Macaca fascicularis: one gene and its partners. The protein of the gene in region 5 interacts with the protein of the main gene of each other region in a pairwise test. Links are inferred from orthologs where the notes say so. Each region holds a gene or a part of one and is shown on either strand. Other genes may lie near its edges.

Region 1 (3,500 bases), on a different chromosome or scaffold from region 5:
GTACCTGCTAGAGAAAATCTCACACATTGGGGAAGGTACCATTTTTATGTTAATTCTAAGAACACACAAAACAATGCTATCTACTGTTATGGGTATATACATAAATAATAAAAGCATTAAAATGGGACCAGAAGAACACATGCTAACTTCAAAACAGTCATTACCGCTGGAGGGTGAGAGAAGAAAGCAGGATGGGGTAGGATGGCTTTATTGTATTTACAAAATTTTATTTAAATTAAAAGAAAAAGAGGGCTGGGCACGGTGGCTCACGCCTGTAATCCCAGCACTTTGGGAGGCCAAGGCGGGTGGATCACCTGAGGTCAGGAGCTCAAGACCAGCCTGGCCAACATGGTGAAACCCTGTCTCTACTAAAAATACAAAAAATTTAGCCGGGCGTGGTGGTGGGCACCTGTAATCCTAGCTACTCTGGAGGCTGAGGCAGGAGAATCACTTGAACCCAGGAGGTGGAGGTTGCAGTGAGTTGAGATGGTGCCATTGCACTCCAGCCTGGGCAAAAGAGTGAAACTCTATCTCAAAAAAAAGAAAAAAAGGAAGCAAAACTTAACTCTAGTTAAATCTAGGTACATGAGGGTCTGTTATATTATTTTCTTGTATGCTGCCTGAACAAATTATGTAATTTAAAATAAATAAAATTATTACTTTTAAATAAAAACTAAAGGAAAATTGACACATGCTCACAAACACAAAACACTGTCTACAGTTTCAGAGGATTCACCTCCCTGAAGTCCCACAGATCCCTCAAAGGAACTTGGGGCTTTGATAGAAAAAGATTGTCTAAGATAAATTAAGGAAGAGAAGTGAACGATACGCTACCTTTGATGTTTAAAAATGGCCAATAAGTAAACATATTGATATGATTTGGCTGTCTGCACCCAAATCTCACCCTGAATTGTAATAATCCCCACGTGTCAAGGGTGGGGCCAGGTGGAGACAATTGAATCATGGGTGCAGTTTCCCCCACACTGTTCTCTTGGTAGTGAGTAAGTCTCACGAGATCCAATGGTTTTATAAATGGGAATTCCCCTACGCATGCTCTCCTGCCTGCTGCCATGTAAGATGTGACTTTGCTTCTCCTCATCTTCTGCCATGATTGTGAGGCCTCCCCGGCAATGTGGAACTGTGAGTCAATTACACTTCTTTCCTTTGTAAATTTCCTTTATAAATCTAGGTTTGGGTATGCCTTTACTAGCAGCATGAGAACAGGCTAATACACATATATATATTTGCATTTTAAAATCTGACTGTAGAAACCCTGGAAGCACATATAAGAAAATAATACAGCCGTTTCCTTGGGATGGAGTTGAGGAAGAGGGAAATGGGGCAAGAGGGTGACTGAGAGTTGACAGCCTGCTGTATACTTTTTCATGTTGTTTAATTTGAGAACCATTTAAATGTATTACCTCTTCAAGAGTTGTATTAAAACAAAAGCAAAGAAATGCATAAACAACTCCTGGTTTAAAATAAAGCCAAATATTTTTGAACAGGAATACATGAGGGTAGGGAGAGATTTCAGGAACCACTATTGCCCCTACCCCAAGCCATTTAGCATTAAATCACATACTCAGAATCAACCACACCAGACCCCTAACAACTCCTATGGCAGGGCTGAAACCTGCTCCACAGGATGGTCAGTGGGGTTCATTTAGGAGGTTTTATTTATTGATGTATTTATGATTTTTTTTTTTTTTTAGACAGGGTCTTGCTCTTCTGCCCAGGCTGGAGTGCAGTGATGCAATTGGAGCTGACAGCAGCCTTAAATTCCTGGGCTCAAGCAATCCACCTGCCTCAGCTGAAACTTCAGCTACTTTGGAAGGCTGCCACCATGCCTGGCTAATTTATTTTTTATTTTATAGAGATGGGGTCTAACTATGTTGCCCAAGCTAGCCTTAAACTCCTGGTCTCAAGCAATCCTCTTGCTTCCTCCTCCCAAAGCACTGGGATTACAGGCATGAGCCATTGCCCCTGGCTCATTTAGGAGACTGAAGAGCAAAAGCTTTTCTAAAACAAGAAGCACTTGGGCCCAGGATGTCGAAGCTGCAATAAGCTGAGATCACACCACTGCACTCCAGTCTGGGTGACAGATCAAGATCCTGTCTCAAAAACAAACAAACAAATACCAATAAGCCTTTTATGCTCCTTTCACCTTAATCTCCTGCCTCAATCCTGACCTGTTACTGTTCTTCTTGGGGGACCAGGTAGGGCAATCTTCCCCTTTCTCTCTAGACTTGTTTTAAATCTATTTGAGTCTGAATCCAAAACCTTCATAACATTACAGAGAAAGAGAGATGATATTCAATCTTGGGGTTTTCATCTCTGTTCTCTTCTAGTTATAGACAACATAGTATACAATTCAACAACTCTGGATTTCCTATGGATAATCTGACTCATCTTTCTTGCTACTCAGAATGACCAAAATTATATCAGTGAAGCTAGAGGAGTAAGTCCTTAGATAATTCTAAACCAGTGCTGTCCAATAGAAATATAAAGCAAATTACATATTTAAAATTTTTTAGTAGTCACATTAAAATTTTTAAAAAAGAAACTGGTGAAATTAATTTTAAGAATATTTTATATAACCCAATTATATGCAAAATATTTTCACTTTTATATATAACCAATATTAAAGATAGTATTATTATTATTATTATTATTATTATTAGAAACAGAGTCTCGCTCTGTCACCCAGGCTAGAGAGCAGTGGTGTCATGGCTTACTGTAACCTTGAACTCCCAAGTTCAAGTGATCCTCCCACCTCAGCCTCCTGAGGAGCTGGGACTATGGATACATGCCATCATACCCAGATAATTTTCATATTTTTTGTAGAGATGAGGTTTTTCTTTGTTGCCCAGGGTGGTCTTGAACTCCTGGGCTCAAGCCATCTGCCAGCCTCAGCCTCCCAAAGCGCTAGGATTACAGGCGTGAGCCACCGTGCGTGGCCAAACATTGGTTTTAAAATTAAAATAAAATTAAATTAAAATTCAGTTTTTCCGTCATACTAGCCACATTTCAAGTGAGCCATGGCCACCTGTGGCTACTCTAGTGGAGGGCACAATTCTCCACTGTCCCTAACCGTGATACAAATTTGGTGTGGGGCTTTCAGTCCAGGTATAAACTAAAAAGGAAACGCCATTCCAAGTGTTTGGAGACACAAACTGGGAAAATGATGGCGCTCTGAGGCAGGAAGAGTTTTTGATTTGTCCTTTCAATCCTAATAGCCTGATTCTACCTTTGATGAGTTTCTTACCAAAGCATGTCTGCCTGTCAGGGCCTAGCACAGTTCCTGGAGCGCATGTGCACTCGCTGGTATCTGAGCAGCTGCCATGGCAGTCCTCGTCGCAGATGTCATAAAAATCTACGGAAGAATAAAGATTATCTTCATGAGAGGAGGAGACCAGAGGACACGCTTTCATTCATTTTAGAGATGGTGCGGTGGGGCAGGAGGGGTGGTCTCCCTATGTTGCCCAGGCTGGCCTCAAACC
Region 2 (3,495 bases), on a different chromosome or scaffold from region 5:
ATGACGTCCTTTGCTTTCTTCAGGTCGACGTGGAGAATCCTGACCTCGAGAAGTTCCCCGAGTTTGCCAAGGCCCCATTCCTGTCCTGCATCCTGTCTCCTGGAGAGATCCTGTTCATACCCGTGAAACACTGGCATTACGTGCGGGCTCTGGATTTGAGCTTCTCGGTCAGCTTCTGGTGGTCGTAGCCAGGCTAGGAGCTGAAAGGGCCGGACATGCAGACAGCACTCATCTGTTCACTGTGCCTCACCTGGTGCTGGGTCCTGGAATCAATAGAGATAAGCGGGACTGAACCTGTGTCCTGAAGAGCCTTCACTGCCCAGTGGCAGCCCTGGGGGGGCTGAGCTTCAGCACTGGGCGGGCACAGAGCGGGGGCTGCCCAGGAAGGAGCACACTCCAGGCCGGGGGTGCATGACAGAGGAAGGTGGGGAGAGCCCAGGAGGACCCTGCAGGCAGACAGCCTGCTTGGGGACGCCGGCATCAGAAAGCCTAACGTGTTTGGGAAACGGATGGGTCACACGGGCAGGGGTGAAACGTGGGCTCTGAGGTTGGCTATTCGACCCAGACCCGGCCGCGCTGTGTACCTGCTGCGTGACTTGGCCAGGATCCCCCGCTTCGTTGTGCCCACGTGGAAAAGAGGGCAAGGCCAGTCCTCACTGCAGAGGGCCGAGGAGGCAGTGCCGAGCCCCTGCTGCTGCATGAACCTTAGCCGCTGCCACTGATCCCAATTACTCTGATCCTTCTGCCCTTCCTTCCCTTAACTGGGCCTGCTGGACGCCACAGCCTGAATACTGGAGAGAGCTGGGCATTGCCCAGGTCACAGGAGAGAGTCCATAGGGGCCTGCTCAGGAGCCCAGACCCCTGCTGGGCAGTGGGAGCTTTCTGTCATCCTCGTGGCTAAAGGATAACCTACCTGCTGCAGTGAAGTGCAAAGGTCTTGCTGGATGACTTTGCACCCGCACTCATCCAGGAGCAGGCTCCCAAGTGAAGAAACCACTGAACCATCACCAGCCCCTGGAAGCCTCCCTCTAGCCACCTTCTAGTCACCATCCCCCAGAAGTAATGACTCTCAAACCGGTGGAAGGTTTGAGGCCGGGGGGACACCCAGGCTCCGTGCTTTCTGTAATTGTGTCTTGTTTGTGTGCACGCAGGTTTGTTTTATGTTTTGGCCATTAACACTTTCCCCAGCCCTCTGTTTTTTGTTTTTTAAACTAAATAGAGATGGGATCTTGCTATGTTGCCCAGGCTGGTCTTGAACTCCTGGGCTTAAGCGATCCTCTCACCTTGGCCTACCAAAGTGCTGGGGTTACAGGTATGAGCCACCATGCCAGCCTTGGCTTCTTTCTTCCCCCCTTCCAAGACAGGCCTGGGGAAAAGAGCCCCGGGGGTTCAGCTGCCATCCTGCCAGCACCTTGACCACTGGCTCAGCTGCTTGGCTTTTAGCTAAAAATCAAGCCGCCTCTGGTTGGCCAGGGGGTAGCTACCCTGGGGTAACTAGAAGGGGGATGGGAAGGTGGCCACGGGCAGCTGGGACTCTAGTTCCTGATGCCCTCTGTACCCAGGCCAAGGAATTTGACCTTTATTGGGTAGGTCCTGGGGTTCTCGGCCTTTGAGCAGACACCAGCAGCATCTGCACTCTGGAAAGCTGGCTATTGGCAGGGAGAGGCCGTGGCACTTACTCATCCTGGGAGTGGCTGCTGAGGGGCCGTGGGTCTGCCAGGGACTGACACACACAACAGCTATCTGGAAGTGGAGTCCACTTGGCTCCGTGGGCAGCTGCTTGCAAGGACATTGTTTATTCCCTGCCATTGTTAATAGTCAATTACCTAATCTTTCATAGGAAGAATTTACACCAGATGTCAACACCCCTGAAAGTAGGGAGGCATAAAACAGGGACGCCCCATGACTAGGTTCACCATTAGTGAGGAGCGGTGGCTCCCGGCCCGCATGTGTAACTCACACCCCTTCCCCAGCGGAGGGACAGGCGGGTTGTGGCCTCAGCTCCCAGTGGCCCAGCCGCTCCATCCGCTCCAGCTGGCAGGCCCCATGGCCCATCTGTAGCGTAGTGTGACAGAAAGCTGGGCACGGGAGGCCACGTTCAGTAACGTATGGTATCCTGGCCAGGAGGCTTCCAGCAAATGTCCCTTGTCAGATGAGGAACGGGAAAAGGGGAAATGGCCCTGCCCTGTGGGTGAGGTTCCAGCGTTCCTACGAATCCCAGTCTGAGGGTGACTTCAGCCCTCTGAGGAAGGTGGACTCTGAAGCCAGCTTGGAACCCAAGCGCCGAACAGTTGGTCACAGACCAAGGAGAGGCACGTGCACGAGCCCCTGCCTGAGATGTGGCCACAGCAGTCAGGACACTGATACTGCCATCACAGACACAGGACACAGCTAGCAGGCCTGTCACTGACCAGATGAGGCCCCTGCCCTCATGGTATTTTAACATAATGGCGTCAGGCTGGGGTGCGGGGGGGGAAATAAGGACATGGGAATACAAGAAGACAGTGTCACGCCGTGATTAGTGCCATGAAAGCAACAGAGCAGGGTGACAGGGTGGAAAATGGCAGCCAGGGATGGACTGGTGGGGCCAGAGTTTTTTGATAGTTGACATTTGAAGAGCAAGAGCTTGACTAGGAATCCAGAATCGGCCATGAGACTTGAGGCCCAGCTCGTGACAGCAGGTACAGCAGCCCTGAGACAGGAAAGCCCCAGTCTGGGGACAGGGGAGGTAGGAGTCAGGGCGGCTGGGGCAGAGAGGGGGGATGGTAGGAAGGGGGATATCAAGGCCATGGGGCCTGGGGGACCAGCAGGGGAAGGCACTGGGGGGCTCAGCCTGGGAGGGACAGGTCTGCAGCCGCTGTGCAGACAAGGGCCTACAAGGGGACCCTGGGAAGCAGGCCAGTCCGTAATTCCTGAGTGATAAGGTCGGGGCACCGGCGGGGGAGCATGGCAGTGAAAGAGAAGGCTGGCGGGGTAATAAAGGCTTTGAATGCCAGGCCAGTGTCTGGAACTCACAAGGGTTTTGGGTGAGTGCCAGTGTGTTGTGGGATGTTCACATCAGTGTCATCATGGAGGTGTTGGAGGCAGGAGAGACGAGCAGCAGGGGGGCCGGTGTCCCCAATGGTGAAGTGCCCAGAGGCTTCCGGAGTCCCCAGCCAGGACTGACTCGAGCACAGAGAATGAACGCCCAGAACCACGGGACAACTGGGTCAGTCATGAGCTGCCCTGGCCCCTCCTGAAGGCGGTATTTGCTGGTTGGCTTTTTGCCTCCTGGCGTCCATCTTCCCTTCTTCCAGAACGGCACACTGATTGCACTCTGGAGAATGACCTCTGCCCCAGGGACGCGGTCCTGGAAGGTCTGTACAGTCCTCCCTGGACTGGCACCTTGAGGGCACGTCGGGAGGAGCGTAGACAGGCTGGAGCTGACCCCCTGTGGCAGCAGCACCCACTGTCACAGAATTGTCTTGACATCCATGACCCTTATTCCAAGGTCTG
Region 3 (4,287 bases), on a different chromosome or scaffold from region 5:
TGGCAGGTGCCTGTAATCCCAGCTACTTGGGAGGCTGAGGCAGAAGAATCTCTTGAACCCGGGAGGCAGAGGCTGCAGTGAGCTGAGATCACGCCACTGCCCTCTAGCCTGGGCGACAGAGCAAGATTCCGTCTCAAAAAAAAAAAAAAAGGTGCCTCATTACAAAACAGAAAAAGAAATCACTTTTGAGATACAAGTTTATAAACTAGGCATACTTAATATAAATGAATAAACCTGAAAATTAACATGATAGATTACTAACATTTCTGAACATTTACTAATACAAATAATCTGCTAAGATTTATACCTAAGTCGTCTTTTTCATTATAAGATGTAAAAAGCAAAATGAGAATGTCCTCTGATAATTATGACAGAATTTCATTTTAAGTATTGGAAAAAGTCTACCAGAGTGCTTCAGATAAGGAAATGATAATGCATGGAATGTCTCAAGAAGAATACACAAATATCTGGTAACCACAGTTACCCTAGGTAAGAAAGAAGGAAGAGGAACAGGGGCACAAAGAAAACATCTTTCCACTGTATTAAATATTTAAAAATCATGTGTGCCTAAAGTCATAAACTGTGAGCTACTGGCACAATAAAGTAGTTTTACTACAAAGTGGTTACTCAATAATATATATAATAAATAACACTAGAAGATATCACTATCAAAAGAAACTTTCAAGGTAACAAATCTCCTGACAAAATGAATATAAAGATTAGTAAAAATGGGCCGGGCGCGGTGGCTCACGCCTGTAATTTCAGCACTTTGGGAGGCCAAGGCAGGGGGATCACGAGGTCGAGATGGAGATCATCCTTGCCAACATGGTGAAACCCCATCTCCACTAAAAATACAAAAATTAGCTGGACGTGGTGGTGCGCGCCTGTAGTCCCAGCTACTCCAGAGGCTGAGGCAGAAGAATTGCTTGAATCTGGAAGGCAAAGGTTGAGGAGATCGCACCACTGTACTCCAGTCTGGTGACAGAGCAAGACTCAGAGTCTCCGAAAAAAAAAAAAATTAGTAAAATTTCAGGCAGAAAAAAGCCATAAGCAAAAAGTAAAAATGGGTACAATGATGTGCTAGATGTGCTATGAACTTCAATAAGGGGTTAAAACACACACACAGAAAATGGGAGACTTGAAGCAGTATAGATTAACAGTTTGGAGTCAGAATTTCTGGATTCTGACTATTTCACACACTTACTGAGCTAGTGAGCTCAGTGAACTAGAGTACATTACTTAATCCCGCTGACCCTAATCTACAGAACTAAGATTACAGAATTTACTTTGAGGAATGTAAGCAACAAAATTTAACCTGCGAAATCATATATTAGCTTAATCCGCACAATTCTGTAAGTAGGTATTATATCAACTCCACTTTATATTCAGAAGTTCAGGCTTAGAAAGAGGTTGAGTTGAAGGGCATCCAACTACTAAATGATGGGCCCCAAATTCGAATTTAGATGTAATTCTTAACGTATGTCCTCCCTCTTCTGTTGTACTTCAAGATCCTACAATTTCTATCTGGTAGAAAAGTCCTTCTTTGAACATCTCTAGAGCTCACACAACAGCTCATCTATCCCACATATCCATAAAAATGGAGACTACGAGGAATGCCCTGTAAAGAGATGATAAAAGCAACAGAGGCCAGCGAAGTGGCCCAATCCTGTAATTCTAACACTGTGAGAAGCAGAGGCGAGAGGATGGCTTGAGGCCAAGAGTTCCAGACCAGCCTGACGCAATACAGCCAGACCCCCTCTCTAAAAGGTTTTTAAAAAGTGTTTTTTTTAGCCGAATGTTGTGGTGCATGCCTGTAGTCCTAGCTACTCGGGAGGCTGAGGCAAGAGGATAGCTTGAGCGTAGAAGGAGTTGGAGGCTGCCGGGAACTATGATTGTTGCACTCCAGACTGGGCGACAGAGAGAGAGACCCTGTCTCAGGAAAAAGAAACTGTCCATAACTTCAAAAGATAAGTAATCGAAAAAAATAATCACACCAAAACAGCCTTAATACACGTACAAAGTAATAGCAATTATACATTATTAAATGTTGTAAGTTGAAGGGACGCTAGAATGTACTCAAGAGAATTGTATTATAGTAGTCCAACCCTAAAAGAGAAGGGAGGAGTTGAGGAACAAAGTCTTTCTCAAAAGGCATCTAAATACGATCCTCGGAATACTAAAGTGTGAGAGATTAAGGAGACGATTATGAAGTCAGTCGAGATCCAAGTGGGAGCGCTAGAGCAGGGCAAGTCAGCAATGCGCTAGCTCAGAAGTTGACTGTATTGGAAGGTAGACGGAGACCTGGAAGAGGAGGAGATCTGAGCATTAAAATCAGCTGGCGGGAACAGGACCAGATGTACAAGATCTGAAGCAAGCAGCAGTGGACAAAAGGAATGGGAAGAGAAACAGGCCCCAAGGCATGTGGCATTTTACAAGCTCAAATCTTGACGCTTTCCCCCGGCCTCTTCGGCCCTCGGTAGGGGCCGGGGTGCTCGCAAAAGGCGCAGAACCCCAAGCAGCTGGGGGCGGGGGCGCGGACCGCGGCCAACAGGGAGCTGCTGGGCTGAGAGTTCCGCGCTTCCGGTCCCAAGCAGGCCTTCTGGAACCCAGGCTACAGCCCGAAAGTTCCAGGCGGGCATTGTCACCACCGTCTCAGCGTTCTATCCCAGATCTGGCCGCCTCCTCCCCTTGGTAAACTTTTCCCGGGAACTTACCCGCCATTTCCGAGCTACGAGCACCCCCGGCTGAGGAAGGACGAATCAACCCGCGCGCTCCCGGGCCGGAAGTGACCGCACAGTCTGACACATTGTCTCCGCCCACTCCCAGCGTGACGTTAGCCAATTAAAGGAGGCGTGTCCAGGAGCCCGGCGGCGGAAGCGCCTCAGGAGGCGGGGCTAACGCGGAGAAGTCTGCACGGGCCGTTAGCTGTGCGATTTGCCTAGCCAGTGCGAATGCTGTCGGCCGCTTTGCAGGCCTGAAGTGGAGAAGGAGGCCGCAAATGAACCTTCGCGGTTGAGATGCTCTCCGGCCCTAGGAAAGTTTCTCTGGGGTTGATTTGATCAATACAGACAGTTTACGCCTGTTTTCCTTACCCGTCCCTGAGATGTTTTGGAGACTGGCTGAAAATCTTTCCTCTTGGCCTGGACAGTGCATCCAAACACTTGAGACCTGTGGGCAATTTTACCCTAGGTAAGATTTTACCTAGGGTAAAATGTAGAGGTTGAGTCTCAGTTTCGGAAGAAGTTTTCACTTATTTTCCTCCTTTGTTTCTCATTTTGCTGTAAACTTTAACATCTTTTTTCCTTTCTCCCCTGTTTTTAACGTATACAGTATGATATTTAGGTACTCCGCTTTCACTCTTCAGGTCAGTAGGCAATCATTTAAACGCGGAAAAATCGTTACCTAGGCCAGGCGCGATGGCTCACGCTTGTAATCCCAACACTTTGGGAGGCCGAGGCAGGTAGATTGCCTGAGGTCAGGAGTTCGAGACCAGCGTAGCCAACATAGTGAAACCCCGTCTCTACTAAAAATACAAAAATTAGCCAAGCATGGTGGCGGGCGCCTGTAATCCCAGCTACACGGGAGGCTGAGGCAGGAGAATCGCTCGAACCCTGGAGGCAGAAGTTGCAGTGAGCCGAAATTGCGCCACTACACTCCAGCCTGGGAGACAGTGAGACTCCGTCTCAAAAATAAATAAATAAATAAATAAATTGTTAACTAATAAATACCTAAGTGGCCTGATGTAGTCTTGCATGCCACATGTTCTAGTGGTTTGAATTACATCACAAGGTGCTACCTGATTTTAGCCGTAGGCCTTGTTAGTATTTAGTAGCTGTTGGAACTGTTTTGCCCAGAGGATAAAGCACTGTTTAGGTATCCACAAATATTCCCACAATGTTGGCTATACACCAGAATTCCTTCTCTCAACAAATATTTGTTAACAGGTTTTACACTGATGCATGCTAAAGCTAAAATGGACCCTTGGGATGATGGTCTAGAAGTAACACGCCTTCTCATTTTAGAGATAAGGAAACCAAATCCCAGAAAAGATAAACTGCCCAAGTTCTCTCTCAGAATGCAACCTATGCAGAGTGCAGTTCATCAGATACTCAGCCCAGTATTTATTTGCTGAACGATAGAGAGATGGCTTTCCCGAAGATAAAGATCAGAAAAGGTACTGAGAATGCCCAGATCCTTTTTCTTTCTTTCTTTTTTACTTTTTCTTTTTTCTTTGAGACGGAATTTCGCTCTTGTTGCCCAGGCTGGAGTGCAATGGCACAATCTCGG
Region 4 (3,500 bases), on a different chromosome or scaffold from region 5:
TGATGTGGTCATTAGCAAAGCCTGTTTTGGACCCACCTTTATATCCAGTGGGACCTTTCTGTGCAGCTCAAGGAAAAGCTGCCTCCCTCCCAATGTATAGGCCTATCTGAATGTTGGAGACTAACAGATCTGACAATGGGAAAGGCCTGGGTTGATCTGGTGCACTTTGGTAACTGACTGCAGGCCACTCCTTAATGAAACAGACCATGGATGGTGGTGGTGGTTCCCCCTTCCTCCCCTTCAATCTCTTCATCTTCAGATTCTGGTCGCTGCTTAGCACAGAGTAGATTGTCAAATAAATGTTGTGGAATTAATGGTGGACACTGGAGTCAAATAGACTGCATCTGCCACTTATTAGCTGCCTGTCCTAATTATTTTTTTGAACCACAGTTGGCTTATCCATGGAGGACATTTTAATGCCTGTACTGTAGCACTATTGAGATTAGACAAAATGTGCTCCACAGGCCTGAGTAAAGTTGGCCTTTATACAAGGAACTATTCCTGAGGGTAAAGGGCACTAAAGGAATCTTTTGGATTCTAATGTCTGACCAGGTAGAGACATACCCAGAAATTATGCGGCTCTTTGTTGAATCCTGTGAAATATGATTATACTTGGTTTTGTCACTGAAACAAGAAATTATGGGCTCTTTGCTGAATCCTGTGAAATATTATTATGCTTGGTTCCATCACTGAAACCATCACTGAAATATTATTTCACTTAAAGCAATATTATATGTAACAATATAAAACAACCAAATCACCACGAACAAGAATGCAGAGGAAAAACAAGCTGTTGACTAGAATACCATTGGCTAGTTATGAATTGTCCCTGTTGTTATATGTTTGCTGCCCGTTTATTTACTTTGGCATCTGCAAGTTTTGGAAAAAATTCATGGAGGGAAATTTAACATTGAGATAATTCTCAGCACTGACTTAATTCTTTCCCCCTGCACATTTAGGAAAACCAAAGCGATCCAACAGTGACAGAACACCTTAGAACGTCACAGAACGTCAGTATACTATAGGATCAAAGTCTTCATTTTCCAAAAGAGAAAATGAGACCTGAGGACATGCAGATTATAATCAAGATTATAGAATCTTTATGCACTTGTCATATGACTTTTTGCATTCTTTACATAGAGTAACTCACTTAATCCTCATGGCAATCCAGTGAGGGGGTCACTACTATTCCCCTATTTCATAGGTGAGAAAAGCAAGGCACGGAGAAGTTAAGTGACTGGTAGTGGTTACCAGGAGCGGACACCAGGATAGTGACTTGCAGGATAGCACAGTGTTTCCTGGTGCCTTGATTGCTCCACTAGGTGGAATCTGTTAAGGCACTCACTTAGCACATTGCCCCACGCCATCTTCCCCATGTGTTCCTGAACTAGAAGTTAGGCTGAAGGAGTGGAGAAGGGGAGGACCTGCTTTGAACTTGGCGATGGCGCTGAAGAGTGAGGCGGCCCTCTCGGAGCAGGCGTCGATGAGGCTGATGGTGTCGTGGCCATTGTGGAAAGAGAACTTGCAGAAGGTGCAGAGCAATTCGTTGTCATTGCGGCAGTACTCGATGATGCGGCTGGATGGATGGTGGATGCAGATCTTCTCGTCCTGTTCCTCGGCGCTGGTGTCCACAAAGACGTGGTCTTGCATGGCCACATCCGAGTGGAAGGCCTTGAGGCAGTCGTTGCACAGGTTGAGGCGGCAGGTGATGCAGCGCTTGTACGCTATGCGCCTATTGCGGCAGACCTGGCAGAGGATGGGCCCGGAGGAACGGTCAAAGCGCCACTTGAGGTAGCCGTGCTGCTGCATGTAGCGCTTGGTGAGGCGCCCGCGCAGGTAGTTCTCCGGCAGCTGCATCTTGTGGCTGTAGGGCATGCAGTGCGAGCGGTCGCACACTGGGCAGATGAGGATGAAGAAATTCTCGGTGACCTCGGCGTGCTTCTGCAGCTGCCGCAGGCACTTCTCACACAGGCTGTGGTTGCAGGGCAGCATGAATGAGTGCAGGCGCAGCCGGCTGCACATGGGGCAATTGAGGTGGTTCACCAGGTGGCTTTTGGCTGGTACTGATTTCACTTCATCCAGCTGGGTATCGCTGCTCCCAATGCGCAGGGCAGTCTTGGAGCTGAAAGGAGAAGCAAAGGCAGGGTTTCAGGAGGCAGGCTCAAGAGCTTGCTCTGCCTCTCTACCTCTGAAAGAACTCTTGGTTTCTGAGGGGCAGTCTAGGGTGGTGGTGAGGAGCCTCAGCTGAGTGCCAAGGTGCCTGCGTTCTCAACCTGTCTCCACCATTTTTCAGCGGGGTGACCTCAGGTAAGCCAGTTAACCTCTCGGCCTATTTCCTTGTTATAAAATTAGTACCCATGTCAGAGTTTCTTGAGAAGATTAAAATTGAGTTTAATGCTTGTACGGACTAAGAGCAGTCCATGGTACACAGTCAGTGTGCTGCAACTGCTTGCTGTTATTAAGCAAGGGAAAAGCCGCAGAGACTGGTCAGGCGTCAGCTAGGCCTTGGTGTTCCGTTGGACATCGGTAATATCAAAGAACACAGTATCAGACAAGGCTACTCTGTGACTTTGGATCAAAGCAGAAACAAGGCCACTTTATAATGTTTGGACTCAGACACGAACGTTGTCTAAATCACGAAAATGACCCAACATCCCCCTATCCTGGTTGATTTTTTTAAACCAAAAAACTGTTTTTTTTTTTTTTTTTTCTTTTTTCTTTTTTTTCCAGCAGCTTTTGGGTCACTCTGTTCTTCCCACCTTCTAGATAAGATTTATTAAAATATTCAATAGATTTACTCCCGTGTCCTCACCTAACATGAGCTCAAATCCTGTAATAACTTTTCAAGGTACTTTACACTTTCCCATGCTTTATATTCTCACTTGTTGCAATGAGTCAATAAATACAATCTTGTCCAACTACAGGTGTGTTCTTAGGGCTTTTTTTTTTCCCCTGGAGGACATTGACATTATTTATTGTACATAGATGGAACACAGAGCAAGTCTGTACCTGAGCCAAGCCTAGAACCTGTGTGGTCTGCCAACCAGACCAATAGGTAATGGTAATGGATCTGGGCTTTAGAGGCAGAGCGTGTGTGATAAAAATGCACCACTTTACAGTTGTACCTTCTGAGATGTTTTTTTAAACCTCTCTCATGTTCAGTTTTCTTAACTATAAATCAAACCTCACCATACTACTTGCTTTGTGAGGTTTTTATAAAGTCTAAATGAGATAATCCATGTAAGTGCTTAACTGCTGGTACATAGTAAGCATTCAGTAAATGTGGCCACTGTAATTACATCCCTTTGCTACTAGCCAGCTAATGTCTGCAGTAGAGAGAAATCACAGTAAAGGAAAATAGTGGCCAAGTCTGTGAAAAGTATGTGCTTCTACTGTTTCATTTGTGTGTGTTAAAGCTCTCCATTTGTCTAATGCCTGAGGCTGATTTCATACATTTAATCGTAAGAACTATGGAGTAAAAGCATACTTGTAAAATTCAA
Region 5 (3,500 bases):
CTCTTCTGCGAATTCTAACAGGTATTTCTTTAGCTTATTTTAAGAAGATTTTATTTCCAGCACTTAGCTCAACAAATATTTGTGTTACAAAAGGATTAATTCAACATACTTTGCATAGCAAAGGTTTTTCCCACCTGGGTGATAATTCTGTTTTATAGTTTATGCTAAAAATTATTTCATATCCATTATGATATACAAATCTACATAGAAGAAAGAGCAGGTAGTTTTAATTTCCATTTTGTGCCTTGGGGAGATTGTTACTTACTTAAGAACACACAATTCTAATCGGCAAACCTTGGATTTTTATTCAGACTTTTTTCAAAACAATTACACTCTTTTTGACTAACCCATGTGGCCTTCTAAAGACTTAGTGTTGATTAGGAATTTAAATTCTGCATGCATACATCTTTTCACATTAACTTGCAAAACTATACATAGAGATTTATTAAATAAAAATATATTGTGCACAGTAACAAATTTTCAATTCAGTGAAAACCGAATTATCTCTCATATTCTTTGTTATTTTCCCCTCGTGATGCTGTGGTTAGATTATTTCAGGAATGACTTCCAATGAAGTGTTCTGTCCTATACTGACACTGAGTTTGGTCATGTGGCTTGCTTTGGACATTGGGACATTAGAAAATATGACGTAAGAAGCCTGAAAAGCCCTTGCTTACTAGAGTTTTTCCCCTCAGTGCTCCTGGGAATGCTTCTATCACCATTGGAAGGATCCCAAGCTAGCCTATAAGAAGATGAAGCCACAAGCAACAGAGACTAGCTGTCCCAGCTGAGGCCCAACCATCTCTTTCTTAGTCAACCCACCAGCTGACTGGAGCTCCATGAGGATTCCATGTAGGGCCAGCAGTATTACTGTCCAACTAAGCCCAGTCAAAATCTCTACAAAATCTAAAGCAAATAAAACTTTAGTTATTATTTGAAGCCACTAAGATTTGGAGTTGTTTGTTACACGGCAAAGGGTAGCTAACACAAAATTTTAAAAGAATCTTTCAAAAAACATTGAAATAGTATGTATATCTATATGTAATTCTTGCATGTAATTCTTTACCAAGCTTGTCAAGTCAGTTAGAAAGAAGAAATATCCAAGACACCTTCAACATTTTCAAACCAGATTTCCAAAACTGCTTCTAAAAATAAATGATTCTGCTCCATGGTCAATGACAGATAACCCTAGAACATCCCCGAACTGGCAAGTACAGAATCTTGTTTTTCATCTTGGCTGAGAGCACAGTAGTGCATCCTGTCATTTCTACATATTGGAAGCAAATCCTAGGTTCCTAGTTCCTTCATGTATTGTATAAAACACGCTTGCATTTCCTAGAGTTCACCATCTCTATATAAGAACATTACTGTGTAATTCTCCCTCCACATACACCTTTTTATTTTCCTGTTCCCTGTTTTAAAAAAATAATAATAAAATAAAGGTCTGATGATGTAGATTTTGGATCCTGCTTTCCAGCATGCCAAATGTTGAATACATAGAGGGAATTTTGTATGTGAAGTCCAAGGGAAGGAAAATGCTGCGCTCCATAACATAGGTACTAGTCATAATATGTAATAAAATATAAACTGCCAATAAATAAAACCAGAGAAAAGTGTTCCTCTGCATATTTCTACTACCCATAAATAACCTACCAAAGCTGAAATGTAAAAATTAACAGAAGGAAAGCAGATTATTTAAGAAATTGGATAAAATAATTTGCTCTAGTAAGACATGCATTCATTTGTCCACACCCTGTTGATATTTCTTTGGTTCCAATGGGATCCTGGAGGAGGTACACACAGTGAAAGAGGAAATGAGACTCTAGCCCTAAGAGTGCCAATCATAACTGCACTGTCCATAAAGATGTTTGCATTCGCCTTTCAGGAATGTTTTTGTAAAGATTAGCAACTGTTAACCGGCAGTAGGCTAGATTCTCCTTGGGGAAACCAGAATCTGTACAAGGAGTTCACTGGGAAGACTATTAGAACAAATCATTTGTCATTTAAAAAAATGCAAGAAAGGGACCTGAAAAGCAATTAATTTAAAAATATTATTTAGGTCTCATTAATTAGAGTCCAAAAACATTAATAATTTCAAAATATTCTCTAAGTGGATAGCAGATTTTTCAATATCTGAGAGCCATTCAATTTCAAAAATATGTTGGGTAATGGGGCAGAAATATTTACCAATGATCTATGTGACCTTGCCTTTCATCATTTCCCAGCCATCTTGCACCTAAGCTGCACCATTTGACTCTTCTAGACATCAGTGTGTAAATAGAAGTGACATGGGTAATTTCCAGGTGAAAACATTTAAAGGTCAGTGCATAAACTTCCAATTCTTTCTTATTTCTTGTAGTTACCACGGACACCACATGTTGAGATGTTAAAGAGTCAGAATGGGTCTGTGAGCGATTATCTGGAATGCTGGACATGTAGAGTTTGTATGGAGAGTGAGTAAGTAATGAATATTTTTGTGTTACGCCATTGAGGTTTACGGGTGAACGTGTTACTGCAGGGTAACATACCCTATCCTGAGCAATACAGAAAACTAATCTGGGGTTACCAACTTTCTCATATGCCAAATAAGGAGATTTTAGCATATAAGCATACACAATTCCTCACTGTATGCCATCATTATGTAAAAGAAATAATATTTTAAAACCAAAAAATACAGAAGGATCATAATCATAGGAGGATTCTTTCTTAAACTCAGTAAGTATGGTTTTCTTTTAAATATCATTATATTATTTTTAATTTTGTCATTTTGCTGGCAAAATTTTATCATGGAATAGTATACCTGTCTTCCAAATGGTATTGAAGAATTCTGGATCTAGGTATTTCAAATATGGCAAAGAAAACTGTGGACCCAGAGCAATTAAAAAAGATCATATAATGACAATGTCCAGCTTTACCTGTCTTTCAGTGAGATCCAGATTCACTGCTATCTCGTATCGCCTCAGTCTGGTGAGATAATTATGATGGGCAAATTCTGCTTCAAGTTCTCTGATTTGTTCTTTGGTAAATGCTGTCCTTTCTTTCCTGGGTTTGCTGTTGACTTCTGACTTGTAATTTCCTTCCTGGGAGTCTGAAAAAAAGTGAGGAAGAATTGGTAATAACTCATTTATTCAAACACATGCAATCATATCATTCACAATTATTGAGTTACTACTTTTCCAGGTTCCGCACAAGACATGGAACAAATATAGACCAAAGACAGTAAGACTGATGGCAACTCAACAGGGGGAGATATGTTTCTTATTTTTCTCATCTTCCTTCAGGTAACTCACAACCTAATTGGGAAAGCATGTAATTTTCCTCTTATAAAATATTAACAAAACTTCTAACTGCTTGTAATATGATTTTAAGATAAACCAAAACCTCTCTAGAAAACAATTTTAGATATGAAGTTTTGTTTCATAAGTTGTTGAGCATACGTACTTGAGGTCTAAGTAAGATTGAACATAGTAATCCTTTAAAAAGTGGCATCTAGTACATGA
Region 6 (3,500 bases), on a different chromosome or scaffold from region 5:
CCCCCATACTGTATTATCTACCATGAATGCTTCTCGCGTTAACACTCCAGAGTTGACACAAAGCCTAAATACGACAGAAGGCAGGTAAAAAATTCACTTTTACACTTCCACAGGTTTTGTGGAAATGAGGAATAGGTGAGAAAAACCTACTTGGAAAGACCTGGCATAATGATAATATAGGAAAGAATATGAAGTTAGCATAGGCGGATTGGACCTCAGCAGTCCTGTCTCTGGTACTTACTGGCAATTTGACCTTCTCTGAGCCTTAGTTTCTTTATCTATAAAACAGGGTTTAAAAATAATACTTACAAGGTTATTATAAAAATTAAATTCAATAATATATTTTTAAGTGTTATATTGTACCACATAATTTGTTAGCTGTATCAGTGATTTCCCGAATCCAGCTATATAGCCAAGTAAAAGCAGCTTAAAAAAACTATAGGGCCCATCCTAGATGCACTTATTCAGAATCTCTAGGAATGGAGCTGCTGAATCTGTATTTTTACAATCTCCCCCAGAAGACTCTGATGATAATCAGCCTGGTTTGATAATCACAGAGCTATATAACTTTATTCCAATAGCCAAACCACAAAGACACAACAAGACAGAACAGAATGGCTATTTTCAACCCAGACTCTAAAGCAGCAGAAAAACCAAGGAGGACTCTGGAGTTGAAGAGACGGGCAAATCTGGTCACATCTCTCCTTTAACTCGTGTATAGGAGAGATGCAAGCACCTGAGTATATATGAATGAGGCACCTGAAAGTAGCTCAATTCCACCTTCAAAAAAGTGAAAGCCTTAATATCACATTAAAGCATTCTTTGAACTGGAAGCTAAATTTGAACTGGAAGCTAAACCTGCTTTTTCTGCAGAATAAATCCTATGCTATGAACTGAAACTTAAGTAAATAGCTGGTGGAAAGATTCTAGCCACCCAAAAAACAACTGGGCAGCAAAAAAGTCCTATCAGAGGGCAATTCAGCCAGCCAGAACACAGAGACTGAGATTTTAAAACAAACAACCTATTAGTTAAAAAAAGAGAGTTCTTCTATAATTTGATCATTACTGCCAGTTTCAGCTTCAATGAAATAGCAGAGAAAGTAACCACTGAGAACATATGTTACCCTTGACCTCTCATTCCAGGGAGCTCTGTGAAGAGCCAGGGCCACCACTCACCTTAATGGACAATGCATAGAGATGGTTCAGCATAACATGGTTGGGCTCAGGGAGTAAGGCTGGGTCACACTAAGAGAGAGAGAAAAAAATTACTAAATGAAATTAAGGCACAGACAAACCAAACAGCTTACTCTTCCTCAGAGCTCTTTGAGAAATTTAAACTAGAATGCGCTCTCTCTTTTCAATAATGTACCCACTCCAGTATGTATCAATAATAAAATCCTATTACAGAAAATTAGAAAAATTATCAGTCCAGGGCAGAAATCTTACGCCTCAGCATCTACTAATCTTCCTTAAGAGAGTTAGAACAAAAATCTTGCCCACAACACACAAGGAAGAGTTGTGTTACAAGGTAAAAATAATCATAGTAGGAATCAAGTAGATTGAATACAGACATAAATTATATACAAAAAAACTTTTATAATTCTTTCGTACATCCCCAAATGATAACTACTACTTCATGCTGTGCTCAAACAGAAGTCCATAGCTCTGATCCTGATTTTATTACGATGAGGAGACAACTACGATTTTTTATATGAATGGCTGAAGCAGCTGTGACTCAGCACTGGAAAAAGGCAATCTGTAATGTTACTGATATGTGTATGACTTGTAATCTCAACACACCTCTGTAATCATCCTAACCTCCAGGATCACTGAACTTTGGTCCAAATGGTCCTAGACACTCCCAGATGCCCCAGTAATACTGAGGATACTCACAGAAATATTAGTGTCTTTGTTAAGAATAACTTGAAGTAGATGAGGAGGAAGGATGGGTGGGGATTTGAATCTTTCCTCAGATCGAAACACATACATTTCTTGACCATAAGGCCCTGGGGGTGAGCTGGAAAGGTCTGAAAGATATTTATACAAATATGAGAAAGAGTTGGAGAATTAGCAAGAATGCATGGAAAAAGTTATCAATACATGGCAGCTAACATTAAATATAGTAGAAGTCCTGGATCACAAACTTGTGACCTGTGGGATCTACAGCTGTAAGGTAACCAGAGAAAAAATCCGAGTCCCCTGGACATAAACCATGAAGCTCCTCAACATGGCAACATGATTTGGGAGACAAAGAGATAAAGACTCAAAGACCCAGGCTCAAGGAAGAGCTATTACATTTATCAGTTGTAGGACCTTGGAAGAATCCCTCCATAATGGTCAGTTTCTTCATAAAATAAAAATAATCTTTGCCCTATTTCATGATGTTTTTGAGGAAATCAAATTAGATAATGGATGTGAAGATGTCTTGTAACTTTCAAACAATGGGAAAAGATTAGATTTTTTTTTCCAGCCAAACAACAAGTTTATAAACCCCTAACACTACCAATACAATAATGATTACAACAATAAGGACAAAATGTATGTAACTGTCATTAGGGAAATGCAAATCAAAACCATAATAAGCTACCATTTCATACTCACTAGGACAGCTAAAATCAAACAGATAGACAGCAACAAGTGTCAACAAAGGAATGAAGAAATTGGAATGCTCACACTATTCCCACTGCTAGAGGGAATGTAAAGTAGTCCCGCCACTTTGGAAAACAGTTTGGCAGTTCCTCAGACAGTTAAACATAAAGTTACTACATGACCCAGCAATTATACACTGGGTATATACCCAAAAGAAATGAAAACATATGTCTACACAAAAACTTGTATGCTCATAATAGCATTATTTATAATAGCCAAAAAGTGGAAACAATCAAGATGTCTATCAACTAATGAAAAGATAAACAAACAGTATGTCCATACAATGGGCTCTTATTCAGCCATAAAAAGGAGCAAAGTACTGATACATGGTTACAAGATGGATGAATCCTGAAAACATGATGCTAAGAAGCAAGTCACAAAAGACCACAATTTGTAGGATTCTACTGATATGAAATGTCCAGAAGAGGCAAATCCTTAAGACAGCAAGATTTGTGGTTGCCAGAGGCGGAGGGGAGGAGGGAATGGGATGTGACTGCTCATGGGTACAGGGTTTATTCTGCAGGTGATAAAAATACTCTGGAATTAGATAATTGTGATAATCACACAACTCTGAGTATACTAAAAATTACTGAGTTGTACAATTTAAGAGTTAATTTTATGATGTATAAATTACATCTCCAAAAAAAATGAAAAAAGTATGCAGACAAGAATAGAATGAAATATACTAAAATGAAGAGAAATATATTATGATAATATCTTTTATTTAAATGTTATTGTTTCTTTTTTGAGACAGGGTCTTGCCCTGTCACCTAGGCTGGAGTGCAATGGCTTGATCACGGCTCACTACAGCCTTGACCTCCTGGGCTCAAACAATCCTCCTACCTCAGCCT
Region 7 (3,500 bases), on a different chromosome or scaffold from region 5:
ATCACTGCGCAAATACGGAGAGCAGCAGAGGGGGAAGAGGGAGCGCAGAGTGGGGAGACACACAGCAGCTGGAGACATGTTGCTCCACTGGCCTGCTTCCCGTGCCTGCACTGAAGAGCTGCAAGCTTGCAGCCGTCTCTTGGCATCGGATACAGGAAGGTCTTCGATGCATTCCAGCTGGTTCGCGCTGCTAGCCACTCCGCCGGGCGGGTGTGTTCCACCGGGTGTGCTCAACCCAAAAGTGCCACGATGTCCAGGCTGGATTTCAGCAACTACAACGGACATGCGAATCTCTTTCGTTCTCTCAGGAATTGCACAACCTCAGCTGGATGCGGTGTAATCCCACACTTTGGGAGGCTGAGGCGGGCGGATCACCTGAGGTCAGGAGTTTGAGACCAGCCTGGCCAACATGGTGAAACCCTGTCTCTACTAAAAATACAAAACTGAGCTGGGCGTGGTGCTGCATTGCCTGTAATCCCAGCTACCCAGAAGACTGAGGCGCGATAATAGCTTGAACCCAGGAGGCAGAGGTTGCAGTGAGCTGAGATCACGCCATTGCACTCCAGCCTGGGCAACAGAGGGAGACTCCGTCTGGGGCGGGTGGGGGAAGGAACCGCACAATCTCTTCTGGGCTGTGTGCGAGGGCAGGTGGCTCCGCTGTGTCTAGCGGCTCTGTGCGTATGAGGCATGCCCACCACCATCAGAATGGAACATCTGCGTGGCTCCCTCTCCCCTTCTCCCCCTCTCCCAACCACACACAACTCAGTACACATTCTATGTGGCAGCTGGGGTTCAATTCAAGAAGCTGCTGGTCTGGAGCCAATTTGGTCCTATAACAAATGATATGGAAAACATCTGGAGATGTAGCAGGCGAGAACTAAAGCCTGCCCCTCACGGCAGGAGCACACATATCACATGTGGTTGTCACACAAAAATACTGGCTTCAGGGGTCTCCACTGGTCATCAGAAGAGGCATTAGTTCCATTCAGTCTTTTCTTGCCTCCCACCTGACTTCTTGAGGTGATCGAGGCCACTCTCCACCCTGCTGCCGGTGACATCTCACTAAGGCCCAGGCCCTGCTTACAGCCTGCAGTGGTTCCCATCAGCCCTGACTCAATGCCAAGTGGTCTTGCCAGCTTGAAGGTCCATCACACCCGGAGCCCTGTGTGGTAGGCCCTCCCATCATTCTCCCCACTGGAGAGAGTGTATCCTCCAGTCATGCTGAGCTCCCTGGGCTGGACACTCTCCGGACTCCAGACACACCGAGCTCTTACTGTCCCCAGAATGCACCAGGCTCAGAATGCACCCAGAATTGCCCAATTCCCATGACTCTGCCTGGCACACCCCTTGCCCACTCTGACAGCTTGGCTAGGCTAACACCTACACATCACCAAGACTCAACGTGGGGAAAAACCTGGACTGCAAGGTGCTGTTCCTCCCCAGACCAGATGAAGTGGCCCTGCTGTGTGCCTGGTGCCATGCGGCATCTTCCATGAGGGCACACACGAGATGGCCCAGTGACTGCTGGCTGTCCTGTCAATCTCCCCCATCATCCGTGGGCAGCTCGGACCCTCTCCTATGCCCTGCCCCTTGCACATCATGGTTGCTCTACAAATACTGGAGAGAGAGAGGAGAGAGGGAGGAAGGGGGCGAACAGGAAGGGATGGAAGGGCTGAACCCACCGGCTGCTAATCAGTTAAGAATAAGAGCATATGCCTGCATGACTGACCTGCGTCCATGCTGTGGTTCATCTGGTGGTCACTGGTTTCTCCATCTTCACTCAGGTAGCCAGGGGGTGGGGTCTCTGGGAATGAGAAGGAAGGAGGTCCGTTAAAAGGCCTTCACAGCTGGGCTCTGAGACACCTTTTGCAAACACATCACACATGCACACCATGATGCTAGTGTCCCTGGCTGCAGGAGTTCCAGGTCTCGGAGTAGAGGTTCCAGCTCTTGGTTCTGTTGTCCTCGCCCCTGTCCACCTCTGACTCCCACTTGGATCGTAACTGCCTTTGCTCACGCACAACCGGACCAACTCCCACGTCTGAAGTGTATACTCCTAGAGCCTCCACCAGGCTAACTTCTCCTGGTCTTTCAAGGTGAGGGTTAAGCCCCACCCCCTCCAGGGAGGCGTCTGGACTTGCCTCTGCCTCACCCCTCTTTGTCCTCTGAAGACCTGCAGGCTCAGACCCACCCTCTACCGTCTCTAGGGGATGTGTCCTCACTCAGCAGTTAGGTTACAAATTCAATGGTCGCAAACACAGTGCGATCTACTTCTCTGAAACCTCCCCCAGACCCTGACTGAAGCCCTCCAAAGTTTGCTATTTGAACACAGAGTAGTTGACTTACCCCTGGGACGCCAGGGCTACCCGCAAAGGATCTGAGAAGGTTGGACAGTGGGTCTCTCCTTAACACTCTGACCCAAGCACACAGGTCTGTAGCCAACCTCAGCTCAGTAAACTAACCCAGGATGAACGTCACGTCCAAATTAGCATGCTCTAAGAGGAACGCAGCAGGATTACTGCCCCAGCAAGCAAAAGTGACTACCCAAGTGCTGCCAAGCACAGCTTTCCTGGAGTCGGAAAGTGCTGGTGATTCACACATTATTTGCATGTAAATGAGGGGCTTCTAAAAACATTTGCAGTCTTTGACAGCAAAGCCCATTTCTCCCTGCAGAGTGAAAACTCAAAGTTCCTTCAATTCCCACCCAGGTTGGGGCCCCTCACCGAGGCCCGATGCCCAGGCGAATTTACAGAACCAGCTCTCCGCACTTGCTGCCTGGCCCTCAGCTCACTCCCCGCCTCTGCAGACCCCCGGTCCACTGGGGACTGAACGCCAGTCCCGGCCTCATGGGCGGTGAGAGAAACAGTGTTGCTATTTCCGCTTCCAAAATAAATGACTGCACCAAGGCCGGGCGGAAGGGTCACGCTGCTCCTCTATGCCAAAAAAAGCATCACTAGTAAGGGGGGAGCTGAGGTCATGGGTCCTCTCCCAACAGGGATGTGGTTCTGAGTCAGGGGCCCTCAGGCCAGAGCTGTGCAGAGAGAGGGGATGAACGGGGGACGGCCAGGGGGCAGAGACTGGGGCCACAGGACTGATGTCTGACCGTTGCCCCTGCCTCCCAGGTCAGCCTATGCCGCCCACGTGCCTACCTGGAATATTGCTCTGGGGCTCGATGCCCGCGGGGAAGTTAGTGTTTTCGGGGATGGAATGGCTGTAGTCGTCCAGTGGGGGGAACTCGGCCGGGATCTCTGTGTGGCGTGGCACCAACACAGGAGGTAGAACTGTCCGGGGGAGACAGAGCAGAGGTGGCTCAGTGTCGATGCCAGACCAGCACCAAAGTCCCCGCACCCCCAAGTGCACCACAGACCCTCGGGGGGGGTGGGGGGGTCGGGGGAGAGGTGACGACCCCAGCACCTGCTGTCCCCACAGGCGGGCCAGGTAGCATACCTGGTGTCTCTACTCTCTGGTAGTGGTAGGGATTCACGCAGACCTCGTCCTTC

The links.
Region 1: the proteins of MEOX2 (region 5) and OIT3 interact in binary tests that used the Homo sapiens proteins (3 or more experiments, as listed by UniProt). The two-hybrid records come from large-scale screens. The link is inferred for Macaca fascicularis from reciprocal best matches to the Homo sapiens genes MEOX2 and OIT3.
Region 2: the proteins of MEOX2 (region 5) and KDM8 interact in a two-hybrid assay, tested with the Homo sapiens proteins (2 studies listed by BioGRID). The two-hybrid records come from large-scale screens. The link is inferred for Macaca fascicularis from reciprocal best matches to the Homo sapiens genes MEOX2 and KDM8.
Region 3: the proteins of MEOX2 (region 5) and HAT1 interact in binary tests that used the Homo sapiens proteins (3 or more experiments, as listed by UniProt). The two-hybrid records come from large-scale screens. The link is inferred for Macaca fascicularis from reciprocal best matches to the Homo sapiens genes MEOX2 and HAT1.
Region 4: the proteins of MEOX2 (region 5) and TRIM42 interact in binary tests that used the Homo sapiens proteins (3 or more experiments, as listed by UniProt). The two-hybrid records come from large-scale screens. The link is inferred for Macaca fascicularis from reciprocal best matches to the Homo sapiens genes MEOX2 and TRIM42.
Region 6: the proteins of MEOX2 (region 5) and PRKAB2 interact in binary tests that used the Homo sapiens proteins (3 or more experiments, as listed by UniProt). The link is inferred for Macaca fascicularis from reciprocal best matches to the Homo sapiens genes MEOX2 and PRKAB2.
Region 7: the proteins of MEOX2 (region 5) and SMAD3 interact in binary tests that used the Homo sapiens proteins (3 or more experiments, as listed by UniProt). The two-hybrid records come from large-scale screens. The link is inferred for Macaca fascicularis from reciprocal best matches to the Homo sapiens genes MEOX2 and SMAD3.

Annotation. Positions count from the first base shown.
Region 1 is NC_088383.1:73,470,731-73,474,230, forward strand, and holds part of OIT3 (oncoprotein-induced transcript 3 protein), read right to left. Parts: intron 3,374-3,500; coding exon 3,266-3,373; intron 1-3,265.
Region 2 is NC_088394.1:26,301,814-26,305,308, forward strand, and holds the end of KDM8 (bifunctional peptidase and arginyl-hydroxylase JMJD5), read left to right. Parts: exon of another isoform or gene 1-23; coding exon 24-188; 3' UTR 189-2,995; downstream 2,996-3,495. UniProt on the Homo sapiens protein: Bifunctional enzyme that acts both as an endopeptidase and 2-oxoglutarate-dependent monooxygenase.
Region 3 is NC_088386.1:67,464,675-67,468,961, reverse strand, and holds the start of HAT1 (histone acetyltransferase type B catalytic subunit), read right to left. Parts: upstream 2,801-4,287; 5' UTR 2,722-2,800; coding exon 2,715-2,721; intron 1-2,714. UniProt on the Homo sapiens protein: Histone acetyltransferase that plays a role in different biological processes including cell cycle progression, glucose metabolism, histone production or DNA damage repair. Coordinates histone production and acetylation via H4 promoter binding.
Region 4 is NC_088376.1:43,537,831-43,541,330, reverse strand, and holds part of TRIM42 (tripartite motif-containing protein 42), read right to left. Parts: intron 2,123-3,500; coding exon 1,425-2,122; intron 1-1,424.
Region 5 is NC_088377.1:114,566,473-114,569,972, reverse strand, and holds part of MEOX2 (homeobox protein MOX-2), read right to left. Parts: intron 3,089-3,500; coding exon 2,916-3,088; intron 1-2,915. UniProt on the Homo sapiens protein: Mesodermal transcription factor that plays a key role in somitogenesis and somitogenesis and limb muscle differentiation. Required during limb development for normal appendicular muscle formation and for the normal regulation of myogenic genes.
Region 6 is NC_088375.1:113,073,662-113,077,161, reverse strand, and holds part of PRKAB2 (5'-AMP-activated protein kinase subunit beta-2), read right to left. Parts: intron 2,028-3,500; coding exon 1,894-2,027; intron 1,246-1,893; coding exon 1,177-1,245; intron 279-1,176; coding exon of another isoform or gene 216-278; exon of another isoform or gene 201-215; intron 1-200. UniProt on the Homo sapiens protein: Non-catalytic subunit of AMP-activated protein kinase (AMPK), an energy sensor protein kinase that plays a key role in regulating cellular energy metabolism.
Region 7 is NC_088381.1:43,874,575-43,878,074, reverse strand, and holds part of SMAD3 (mothers against decapentaplegic homolog 3), read right to left. Parts: coding exon 3,448-3,500; intron 3,282-3,447; coding exon 3,150-3,281; intron 2,416-3,149; exon of another isoform or gene 2,347-2,415; intron 2,071-2,346; exon of another isoform or gene 1,892-2,070; intron 1,805-1,891; coding exon 1,730-1,804; intron 273-1,729; coding exon 93-272; intron 1-92. UniProt on the Homo sapiens protein: Receptor-regulated SMAD (R-SMAD) that is an intracellular signal transducer and transcriptional modulator activated by TGF-beta (transforming growth factor) and activin type 1 receptor kinases.